Linked DNA regions of Drosophila melanogaster. The protein of the gene in region 3 interacts with the protein of the main gene of each other region in a pairwise test. Each region holds a gene or a part of one and is shown on either strand. Other genes may lie near its edges. The genes, in order: Tsp42Eb, CG30160 and CG4712.

Region 1 (3,506 bases), 6.3 Mb from region 3:
GAGTATGAAGTTATCCATAATTGGAACCTATTTGGGATCTGCACCCAGTAGTGTTTGGTCTATTGTTACACGTCTCATTACATTATTAATTCCTTTTACTTAGATACTCAACCGACAAGCACTTACCAAAAACACGATATTGACAATATATAAAATAAAGTTGACTATTCCCGATAGACAACCCATTTTGAAAGTATATAGTTTGCTCCTGTATTTAGTAGAATTAAATAAACACTATTGTTTTATCCAAAGGAGTTGTCGGTGTCTCTGATTTTATCGCGCACTCGCGTCGTTTACTGTCGTTCGATTGGACTGCTCCTCCAGATGGGCTACTGTTTTTAAATTGGCCAACAGACACGGGCGCTATCGGAGGAAAGATACGCAAGTGCCTGTTATCATAATCATGGCCGAAACGAAAAATAGATAATGGGCACTGGGCGGCGGGCGGAGATCGATAGCCATTGCCATATGGAGGTGATTCACCACTACTGAGGGCATTCGATCTCGGAAACGCGGCACTCGGCTAACAGGCCGATAAGGACATACTTTTTGGAAAAACATCAACCTGTCTTGATTAGATAGACGGCAGCCAGAGGTAGACAGCGAATAAGCAATAATATTTCATTGGGCTTAACCTATTCTGGTTTATTTACGGTGAGTGAGTGAGTGAGGAATTCGTGTGTTGGATTTATGCTATGAACTGGGCTACGTCTAAGGATTGTATCTGACTTCGGCTCTAGCGCTTCCTCATCGCGCTGGCCAGGCAGCACGACATGATGAAGATGCCCAGCTCGAAGAGGGCGATGATCAGACTGCTCCATCGAATCAGGTCCGTATTGGAGGCCCAGAAATCGACGAACTCCTGCCGGCAGCCAGGTCGCTGGCTGTAGATCTCCGCTTCGCACACCTTGGTGCGATCCTTGTAGCCGCAGCAGGAGCTGGGCACGGTTTCATACTGTTGGTATCCCGTGTTGCCACAGCAAGAGAACTGCAATGGAATAGATACGTAAATATCCGGAAAAAACTAATGACATCTGATGGTGAATTTCGATAAACTTACGGCCAACTGGAGGGCATCCATGGGGTATCCCTGGGCGGCATTGTTCTCATCCCACGCCTTGTCCACTGCCTTGCCCATGCTGGACAGGAACTTGTCGTTGGCCGCGAAGATCCAGATGGAGAGGGCCAGTTGCAGGCCGAACAGAATCAGCATGCAGATGGCGTACTGAAAGGAATGCCAAGTCATTTAGAATCCAATTTCGGTCAGTGGGTGATTTCCGAGTGCTTACGATGGTGGTGCAGCAGGCGTTCTCGCGAATGGTGCCGCAGCATCCGAAGAAGGCCACTACGAAGGTGACACTTCCGATGACGATAATGCAGATCGGGATGGTCTGGGTGTTAACGCCTCCGTCGAAGGCCGTAAAGTTGCCCATCGTGGAGAGCATGATGGAGCCCACCACAATGAGCAGGATGCCACCGGCCACGAACACCAGGTTGAGCAAGTACAGCAGGTACTTGAACATCGCGGATAGACAGTTCATGGTGCTGGGTTCTGTTCGGGTTTCTCGTTGGCTAGCTGGATAATCCGTTCGTTCGATGTGACGATGTTCGTCTAACTGAATGGGCCCTCGGACAGAACGCGGCTATTAAAGCTTACTCGGAGTCCTCATCTTATCGGCTGCGCTCTTATCTCGGCCATAAAATTCCGTATGTACTTGTGCTGGAAGCTCCGATGCCCATGTACTTGTACTTGGTGAATCGCTTTGCACCCACGAGATACCAGATCATTGTGGTGGTCCGAACCTGGGAAATTACATCCTTGGCGCAATGATTCATTCAACGAATGGTAGGTGCAAACTGCTGGTGGCGGAATTTTATCTAGCCCTCGTGCGATTCCATCTTGGGGGCGTTAGATCGTTCATAAGATGAATCATTCACACCCTCCACACCTTGCCTTATCACCAGTCAAGAGTACGCGGTGCACGCTGACTCACATATTACGTTGCTTGGAGTCCGTTTCCCCGTGAGTCCCCGATCTTATCGCCTAGATTTATGTACTATCAATCGAGCAATAAACCTTTTAGCGAGTGCACTCCCAGCCTAACTTCAACAAGATTTTGGCAACTATTGGGGTTTCCACGGCGGAATAATTTCCCATTGACATTCACAAAACGGCTATGTGCCCTTCATAGATAAAATAGCTCAATGGAGATAAGATTTCGTCTGAGCCCTAAAAAGCTAACTAACTAAATATAGTCTTCTGATAGGTTAGTTCTACGGAAATATGTCAATAGAGCCAATGATTGATAATGATCTGTAATCAAAGTGTACTTGTTGGTTTCGGCCAACTCTATTTATACTTATTACTTTGCAGATTAAAACGTTATCGCGAATGGCCGAAATCCTCCCGTGGCAATTTAGAAAAATAGGTGCTTTAGGGATTAAGTCGAATTGCAAACAATGTAAGCTTTCCCATTAAGACAAAGACTGAACTCTTTTCGTAAATTGTAAATAAATTTCTCCGTTTATTGCAATCTCCAGGAGTATAAGTTATTTTGTACAGTTAAACATATTAGCACATTCAGTGTAACTTTGAACAAACGATCTTACAAAAGTGATCGTTACGCATTCGTCATTGGATTTGCTGCATTTGCTGCTTACGCTTGAGATTATGCAAATTTGAATGGCCATCTGTATCAGGTAAATATTCGTAAAATTGGGCAACATAATTCGTACTTTCGGTTTCAATTAAAATTAGTGCAAGGCCTTAGTCCTTTGTCGATTAATATTCCGCACGGCGTCTATAGTTCCGAATGCTGTTCGCCAAGCAACAGGCGAAAACGAATCCCACAAACTGAAAGCAAACAGAGTATGGTATATTGGAAGAATATACATGTAGGTGTAAATCTCATAACGCTTATGGTAAAATAACAAACTAAACTGCATTGCTACGAATTATGATTTACATTACTTAGTACTTTTTGGTTATCCCCAAGAAATCACAATGGAAGGTAGGTAACATGAACCCATCCATCATATTTTCGAAATTCACATGGGGAAGCACCTAGATTCGATGATCGATTTCGTTCGATTGCGTTACTCTGGACAATAACTTACTTCGATGGCGGCGATGACCAGACCGGCATACTTGATGATGTCGCTGTTCCTGTCCCAGAACTCAACGAAGGTGACCTTGCATCCCCGCCGGTAGACGGTCTCCCAGCGGCAGTTGTTGGTGTCGCTGCAGCAGGAGGGAGGGAACTTGCCCTGGTAGGCGTAGTCGGTGTAGCCACTGCGTCCGCAGCATTTCATCTGCGGGAGCGGCAGAAAGTCAGTTGAAGGCGGGTCACATGTCCTTGGAAGTCCCTAAATACTTACGCTGATCTGAATCGCGTCCATGTAGTCGGAACGACTGGTGCGATGGTTCCAGGCCTTCTCGACCACGTCGCCCATGATCTCCAGGTACTTGTCCTTCTGCACCCACATGTAGATCACCAAAGCCAGTT
Region 2 (3,152 bases), 6.2 Mb from region 3:
CCCTCCCTCCTGCTGCAGCGACACCAACAACTGCCGCTGGGAGACCGTCTACCGGCGGGGATGCAAGGTCACCTTCGTTGAGTTCTGGGACAGGAACAGCGACATCATCAAGTATGCCGGTCTGGTCATCGCCGCCATCGAAGTAAGTTATTGTCCAGAGTAACGCAATCGAACGAAATCGATCATCGAATCTAGGTGCTTCCCCATGTGAATTTCGAAAATATGATGGATGGGTTCATGTTACCTACCTTCCATTGTGATTTCTTGGGGATAACCAAAAAGTACTAAGTAATGTAAATCATAATTCGTAGCAATGCAGTTTAGTTTGTTATTTTACCATAAGCGTTATGAGATTTACACCTACATGTATATCTTCCAATATACCATACTCTGTTTGCTTTCAGTTTGTGGGATTCGTTTTCGCCTGTTGCTTGGCGAACAGCATTCGGAACTATAGACGCCGTGCGGAATATTAATCGACAAAGGACTAAGGCCTTGCACTAATTTTAATTGAAACCGAAAGTACGAATTATGTTGCCCAATTTTACGAATATTTACCTGATACAGATGGCCATTCAAATTTGCATAATCTCAAGCGTAAGCAGCAAATGCAGCAAATCCAATGACGAATGCGTAACGATCACTTTTGTAAGATCGTTTGTTCAAAGTTACACTGAATGTGCTAATATGTTTAACTGTACAAAATAACTTATACTCCTGGAGATTGCAATAAACGGAGAAATTTATTTACAATTTACGAAAAGAGTTCAGTCTTTGTCTTAATGGGAAAGCTTACATTGTTTGCAATTCGACTTAATCCCTAAAGCACCTATTTTTCTAAATTGCCACGGGAGGATTTCGGCCATTCGCGATAACGTTTTAATCTGCAAAGTAATAAGTATAAATAGAGTTGGCCGAAACCAACAAGTACACTTTGATTACAGATCATTATCAATCATTGGCTCTATTGACATATTTCCGTAGAACTAACCTATCAGAAGACTATATTTAGTTAGTTAGCTTTTTAGGGCTCAGACGAAATCTTATCTCCATTGAGCTATTTTATCTATGAAGGGCACATAGCCGTTTTGTGAATGTCAATGGGAAATTATTCCGCCGTGGAAACCCCAATAGTTGCCAAAATCTTGTTGAAGTTAGGCTGGGAGTGCACTCGCTAAAAGGTTTATTGCTCGATTGATAGTACATAAATCTAGGCGATAAGATCGGGGACTCACGGGGAAACGGACTCCAAGCAACGTAATATGTGAGTCAGCGTGCACCGCGTACTCTTGACTGGTGATAAGGCAAGGTGTGGAGGGTGTGAATGATTCATCTTATGAACGATCTAACGCCCCCAAGATGGAATCGCACGAGGGCTAGATAAAATTCCGCCACCAGCAGTTTGCACCTACCATTCGTTGAATGAATCATTGCGCCAAGGATGTAATTTCCCAGGTTCGGACCACCACAATGATCTGGTATCTCGTGGGTGCAAAGCGATTCACCAAGTACAAGTACATGGGCATCGGAGCTTCCAGCACAAGTACATACGGAATTTTATGGCCGAGATAAGAGCGCAGCCGATAAGATGAGGACTCCGAGTAAGCTTTAATAGCCGCGTTCTGTCCGAGGGCCCATTCAGTTAGACGAACATCGTCACATCGAACGAACGGATTATCCAGCTAGCCAACGAGAAACCCGAACAGAACCCAGCACCATGAACTGTCTATCCGCGATGTTCAAGTACCTGCTGTACTTGCTCAACCTGGTGTTCGTGGCCGGTGGCATCCTGCTCATTGTGGTGGGCTCCATCATGCTCTCCACGATGGGCAACTTTACGGCCTTCGACGGAGGCGTTAACACCCAGACCATCCCGATCTGCATTATCGTCATCGGAAGTGTCACCTTCGTAGTGGCCTTCTTCGGATGCTGCGGCACCATTCGCGAGAACGCCTGCTGCACCACCATCGTAAGCACTCGGAAATCACCCACTGACCGAAATTGGATTCTAAATGACTTGGCATTCCTTTCAGTACGCCATCTGCATGCTGATTCTGTTCGGCCTGCAACTGGCCCTCTCCATCTGGATCTTCGCGGCCAACGACAAGTTCCTGTCCAGCATGGGCAAGGCAGTGGACAAGGCGTGGGATGAGAACAATGCCGCCCAGGGATACCCCATGGATGCCCTCCAGTTGGCCGTAAGTTTATCGAAATTCACCATCAGATGTCATTAGTTTTTTCCGGATATTTACGTATCTATTCCATTGCAGTTCTCTTGCTGTGGCAACACGGGATACCAACAGTATGAAACCGTGCCCAGCTCCTGCTGCGGCTACAAGGATCGCACCAAGGTGTGCGAAGCGGAGATCTACAGCCAGCGACCTGGCTGCCGGCAGGAGTTCGTCGATTTCTGGGCCTCCAATACGGACCTGATTCGATGGAGCAGTCTGATCATCGCCCTCTTCGAGCTGGGCATCTTCATCATGTCGTGCTGCCTGGCCAGCGCGATGAGGAAGCGCTAGAGCCGAAGTCAGATACAATCCTTAGACGTAGCCCAGTTCATAGCATAAATCCAACACACGAATTCCTCACTCACTCACTCACCGTAAATAAACCAGAATAGGTTAAGCCCAATGAAATATTATTGCTTATTCGCTGTCTACCTCTGGCTGCCGTCTATCTAATCAAGACAGGTTGATGTTTTTCCAAAAAGTATGTCCTTATCGGCCTGTTAGCCGAGTGCCGCGTTTCCGAGATCGAATGCCCTCAGTAGTGGTGAATCACCTCCATATGGCAATGGCTATCGATCTCCGCCCGCCGCCCAGTGCCCATTATCTATTTTTCGTTTCGGCCATGATTATGATAACAGGCACTTGCGTATCTTTCCTCCGATAGCGCCCGTGTCTGTTGGCCAATTTAAAAACAGTAGCCCATCTGGAGGAGCAGTCCAATCGAACGACAGTAAACGACGCGAGTGCGCGATAAAATCAGAGACACCGACAACTCCTTTGGATAAAACAATAGTGTTTATTTAATTCTACTAAATACAGGAGCAAACTATATACTTTCAAAATGGGTTGTCTATCGGGAATAGTCAACTTTATTTTATATATTGTCAATATCGTGTTTTTGGTAAGTGCTTGTCGGTTGAG
Region 3 (5,128 bases):
TCGATTTATTATAGTTTGTCAGTGGGTGGAATTGATCTCTGTTGGCTTATTATGCTGAAAGCAAAGAGCAGGAATGGAAGAATCTGGAAATATTTTGTATTAATTGTATGTTAGATCTATTGAAAAAATATGTCTTAGAACGCAGAATATATTCAGCATGGATTTGTTATTAGTTTTAAATGACGCAGTCTGCAAATGAAATATTTTCCTCATTCGTTTTGGCTAATTGAAGTGTACTCAGGTCGTGTGTACAATATTTTAGACTCAAATAGTGCTCAGAAAGGATGATTAAGAATAAAGCGTGCCAATTTCCGAATCGGTATATTTAGAATTTTGAAAATTTCCAACAATTGGTTGCTAGAAATATTAATGAGAACAACCAAACGGTATTTCCCCTTGGTTTTGTTGTTTTCTTCAACATATATATATGGATGGAATAAATAAAAGCAGGCAAATAAATAACAAACTTGACACTGAAAATGTGGGGGATATATATATATATATACATATATATTAATAATGGTTCATTAAGAGATTTTCTCTACCGTTTCAGGGTTATTATTGATGCATAAGCTTACGACTAGGAAGTCTTGAATTTTCCATTGTTTATAGCATTAATAAACGACAAATATTATATTATTTTTGTGGAAAAATGTATTTGGTTGAAAAGTGGTAATAGCCCTATTAAATAATCGAGCTCTTTTTTCGAGGTGACATCAAACTTTGCAGCTGATTGGTAAGTGATTTTAGGGTTTCCCGGAGACTCGAGACCATTTTCTCCTTTTCACGAACATAGGCGACAGTTCGATCGTAGTCATACATCAATGCGGGCATAGCCAGGATACCACCCTGGCATGTCAAATCTCTCATCCGGCGCCTAATAGCCTTGTGCTCCAGTTTTCGGCGACACAGCTCGGATTTTAGTTTATTTTTCAACTTGTGCTTTTCCAGCAGGTTATCTTTAAGAACGTGAATTTTGTTCTTAAGCTCGTGGGACTTCTCTCGATTGTGCTTAGTCATATGCAGTTCGGTGTGGTAGAGCCTGCGCTGTCTTTTTAATTCAATATTTCGCTCTGATGGAGATGATTATTATGCATATAATAATGAACAAATTTTAAGCAGAGATGTTCATAGGACTATACCTTCAATCTTCTTTTCTAGGCCGATCGTTTTGTTTTGCACGGAAATAAAGTCATTCAAGCTCACACCGTCGCAAACCGTTTCTACATCTCTTATTTTCTAAATGGAGATGTTTCAGAAAAGTATGTTGATACAAGTAAAACAATCAAATTAGAAAACATATGAAAAATTGGAAAACAATATTGGTGATAGTAAATATAATGAAAAACTACATGGCTGGATAGTGGGAAGCAATGTGTTGTAAAATATTGTGAATAACTTAATAGCATTATGTGACAATTTGAATGAGCATAACCGGCGGATAACATGGTTGCTAACATAGCATATAACATGTCGGATAACATAGCATGTAACATGAGTTGGCAGACAACACGGCGATTAACATATAATGTAATATGACGGATAACATGGCGAATAACATGAAGGACAACACGGCTGATAAAATGGCGGACAACATGGCGGATAATATAGCATGTAACATAGCATATAAAATGGCGAATGACATTACAAAAAATACGGAGGATAACATGGCGGACAACATGGCGGAAAATCTCTCAACAACGCGTTCAACATCGTGGACAACTTTTTGGACAACATCCTGGATACCTACTTCTAAGATGCGGGCCAAGGTGTGTTTCTGCGACATGAGCAACAGCCGGGCATCGCTAATTTGATTCCGATGGTCGGCCATAAGTCGGAGTTCGCGGGCAACCAGGCGCTTGAGGAAATCGGTCTCGGCGTCCGGACGAACCAGGATGCGTTTTAACGTCTGCTCGAGATGATGCTCCGTGCTGAGAACGATGTTCATGGCGTTGGCGAGGTCCAAAAACGCAGTGGTCATTAGAATGCCATATTTCTCCCTTACCCTGATGAGGCGCTCTTGACCATAGGACAGATAGGTCAGGGCGTGATCAAGGCGACGGGAGTAGGTTGACTCGGCGTTCGGCGTTAGGCGGTCAAAGTATCGGAAGTTTTTCGTGCGTCGGAAGTAATCTACCATTCGCTCCTCCAGCTGTTTGTTATGATCCCTTACACTTGTGTAATCATGCACCTCATTCTGCAGAGCGACCAGCAGCTTTTCTTTGTCCAGTCGCACCCGAATATATTCCTCAGTACCCCGATGCTCTGGCATGACTACCTTATGTATCAAATGGTTTATAAATTCAGAAATAACCTGGCTTGTCTCTATAGTCCTCAGTTGGGCTGCCACATCGATTTCGTCCGTTTCAAGGTGTTCCGTTGTTACTGTAAACAACTGTTCAAAGCCCATGTAATCATTTCTTTCTTTTTCCAAAGCTGTTGTTCTTGAAAATTCGTCTTTTATGGGTGCCAAAGACTCGCAAATCGATAGTGAGTCGTACAATTGATCCATTGGAGTACGCGGATCAATGGGGCCAATGGTGGATTCTTCTTCCGACTCTTCGGTATCGAAGCTTGAATTGCCATCGGTTGGGGAACTTTTAAAAATTAATGATCTGTTCGATTTAATAGAATGGGAAGACTTTCTTGACGTGGGCGGCGCACTTGGCAGCGAAATATCCGACAGACTGGGCACCAGCATTAAAGATTTAACGGCCACTTTCATGGGATCTATGCTCTTGGACCTCTCGGTCACTGGTGCTTCTGAATCAGATTCCGATGGGGTTTCGATGAGATCGAGCATGTCTTCGTCCTCGGCATTAACTGCGTCCAAAGTGTCTGCTGCGGGAGCAATATCCGTGGTTCTTCTGTTGTCACTGTCGATATCCTCACCCAGCTTGGTCCACAGCAATGTTTCATCGTCCTGCTCCTCCACTTGTGAAATGGACATGTGCCGTTGAATACTGTCTTGTGACTTGCTGGCCATTTCGTCTTCCCTTTGGTCCCCCTCCTGTTCGCCGGACTTCTTCATTTTCATCTCCTCCGCGTCACGCTCCTTTAGTCGATTCATGATGTCCTTTATTGCCAATTTTCTTTCCTCCTTTCTAATGATTTTCAGTCTTTCTTCACTGTTTTCATTTGATGACATAGAAACCATTGAAATATTCACCGAAACAGACTTTTTACTATCGCCTGAAAATCTCGAGAGAACTTCATCAGCCAAGCTTCGTACCGCTTCGTTTTCCTCCAACAAATCAATCTGAGGTTCTTCATTATTCTCCGTTTCCATCGTGTATGTATATATTTACTTCACTACTTATTTCGTTTTTGCATACGATCTTAAGTATTTGTATTTTTTATATTTGTTTTAATGTGCTTTTGCTGTTTTTTTTGTTTTTTATTATATTTTTAGTGTTTATGTATAGAGTTGTTGTGTACTCGTGTACATTTGTTATGTATCTGGCCCTATGCTTTTTTTGACAGTTTTTTCATCGAGACAGATGTTGTGAAGGGTACACTATAGTGGTGTACAAGTATTGCTCTTTCAATCCATTTACAACTTATTGTCACAGTAAAAGCAGCCAAACGATTTTATTATAAATTGTACTGTTTTATTGATTTGTGGATTCTTACAACTCTATATACTTCTTCCCTCTACATAGCTGAGCCGACGTTGGAGTGACTTTAGGGTTTCCCTGAGCTTGGCCACCGTTTCCCGCTTCTCCTTCAATCGCTCCACAGTGTTGTCGTAGTCGTACATCAGCGAGGGCATCGCCAGGATGCCGCCGTGGAAGGTCATATCCCTTGACTGCTGACGCATCTTCTTCCGCTCCAATTTCACTTCGTAGAGACGTCTACGCAGGTCTGTCTGATTTTTCATGGCATTCTTCAACCGGATTTTACTTAGCTCAAAATTTTCCGCCAGAGCCAGCGCCTTTTCTCGATTGTGTCGCGTGAGATGAACGTCCATGAGGAACTGGGTTCGCATCCTCTTCAGATCGGTATTGCGTTCTGCGGGAAATTTGTTCATTAGCCCATGTATTTTTTTTAGGCAATAATGGTGCTCACCCTCGATTTTCTTTTGCAGGGCAAACACATTATTTTGCACGGACAAGAAATCTTCGATACTCAAGGTCTCACTCAGTGTGTCAAGTTCCTTGATTTTCTGCTCAAGTCACAGAAGAATAATGTTAATTTGTTAAAAACTGCTGCGGAATTCGCAGTCCACGGCAGACTTACCCCCATAATGCGACCTAAGGTGTGCTTTCTTGTGATGAGAAACAGTCTGGAGTCGCTGATCTCGTTCCGCTTGGCTGTCATCATTCTCAGTTCGCGATCAACTAAACGTCGCAGATTATCCGATTCGGGCCGGACCAGGTGTTCCCGGAACAGGTGCTCCAAGCGTTCCTCAGTGATCGAGGCGACACTCTGGGCGGAGTGGAGATCCAGGATCACTCTGTTCATCTGGATGGCGTGCTTGTGCTTGGCCACATCCAGTCGATACTTCAGACTGTCAAGCAGGGCCAGGGCATGCATGTATCGGGAGTGGAATCGTTTTTCATTTTCCGGCGAGAGTGTGGCGAAGACACGGGCATTGCGATTGCGTTTATAATATTCCACAAGTCGATTGCCCACCATTTCGTTGGTGTACTTCTCATACAAATATGTAGTGATGACTTTATCAAGCTCGGTCAATAGCTTATTCTTGTCCAATTTCGCCCGAATTTTATTGTCCTTGTTGTGGATGTCCGATAAACTAGCCGTCTCCTCGAAAAGGTCGTACAGTAGTTCACGGACTACCGCCTTGATCTCGAGAGCATGCGAAATGACTGGATCGTCTCGGACCTCGGGAACTGCAAAGGCAACCTTTGACAATGTGCTGAATGCATCGATAGAATCTTGGTTTTGTTCCACTCTTTTTACGACTGGAATTTCATCGAATTCCGGTATGTCGGAGACATCGAAAGAGTCGACCTCACTTTCTGGAGCCGCCTCCTCAGCCTGTTGCTCTTTGTCCACGTCTCCAATCGATTCCGACGACGAGCTGGAACCGGAGTCCATGTTCGACGTTGGATCCGCAAAGAAGCCATGATCTTGCTGGACGCTTATCACCGACCCAGCGTCCAAT

What was found.
Region 1: the proteins of CG4712 (region 3) and Tsp42Eb interact in a two-hybrid assay, tested with the Drosophila melanogaster proteins (one large-scale study listed by BioGRID).
Region 2: the proteins of CG4712 (region 3) and CG30160 interact in a two-hybrid assay, tested with the Drosophila melanogaster proteins (one large-scale study listed by BioGRID).

Annotation. Positions count from the first base shown.
Region 1 is NT_033778.4:6,996,965-7,000,470, reverse strand, and holds Tsp42Eb (tetraspanin 42Eb), read right to left. Parts: upstream 1,624-3,506; 5' UTR 1,542-1,623; coding exon 1,290-1,541; intron 1,226-1,289; coding exon 1,061-1,225; intron 989-1,060; coding exon 737-988; 3' UTR 623-736; downstream 1-622.
Region 2 is NT_033778.4:7,003,501-7,006,652, forward strand, and holds CG30160 (uncharacterized protein), read left to right. Parts: upstream 1-1,656; 5' UTR 1,657-1,717; coding exon 1,718-1,969; intron 1,970-2,033; coding exon 2,034-2,198; intron 2,199-2,270; coding exon 2,271-2,522; 3' UTR 2,523-2,636; downstream 2,637-3,152. Other genes in the region: Tsp42Ea (tetraspanin 42Ea), read left to right, coding at 1-142, 405-476; Tsp42Ec (tetraspanin 42Ec), read left to right, coding at 3,073-3,132.
Region 3 is NT_033778.4:13,248,259-13,253,386, forward strand, and holds CG4712 (uncharacterized protein), read right to left. Parts: upstream 3,467-5,128; 5' UTR 3,290-3,466; coding exon 1,751-3,289; intron 1,240-1,750; coding exon 1,143-1,239; intron 1,074-1,142; coding exon 685-1,073; 3' UTR 636-684; downstream 1-635. Other genes in the region: Mp20 (muscle protein 20), read left to right, coding at 554-572; CG4714 (uncharacterized protein), read right to left, coding at 3,638-4,011, 4,069-4,165, 4,240-5,128.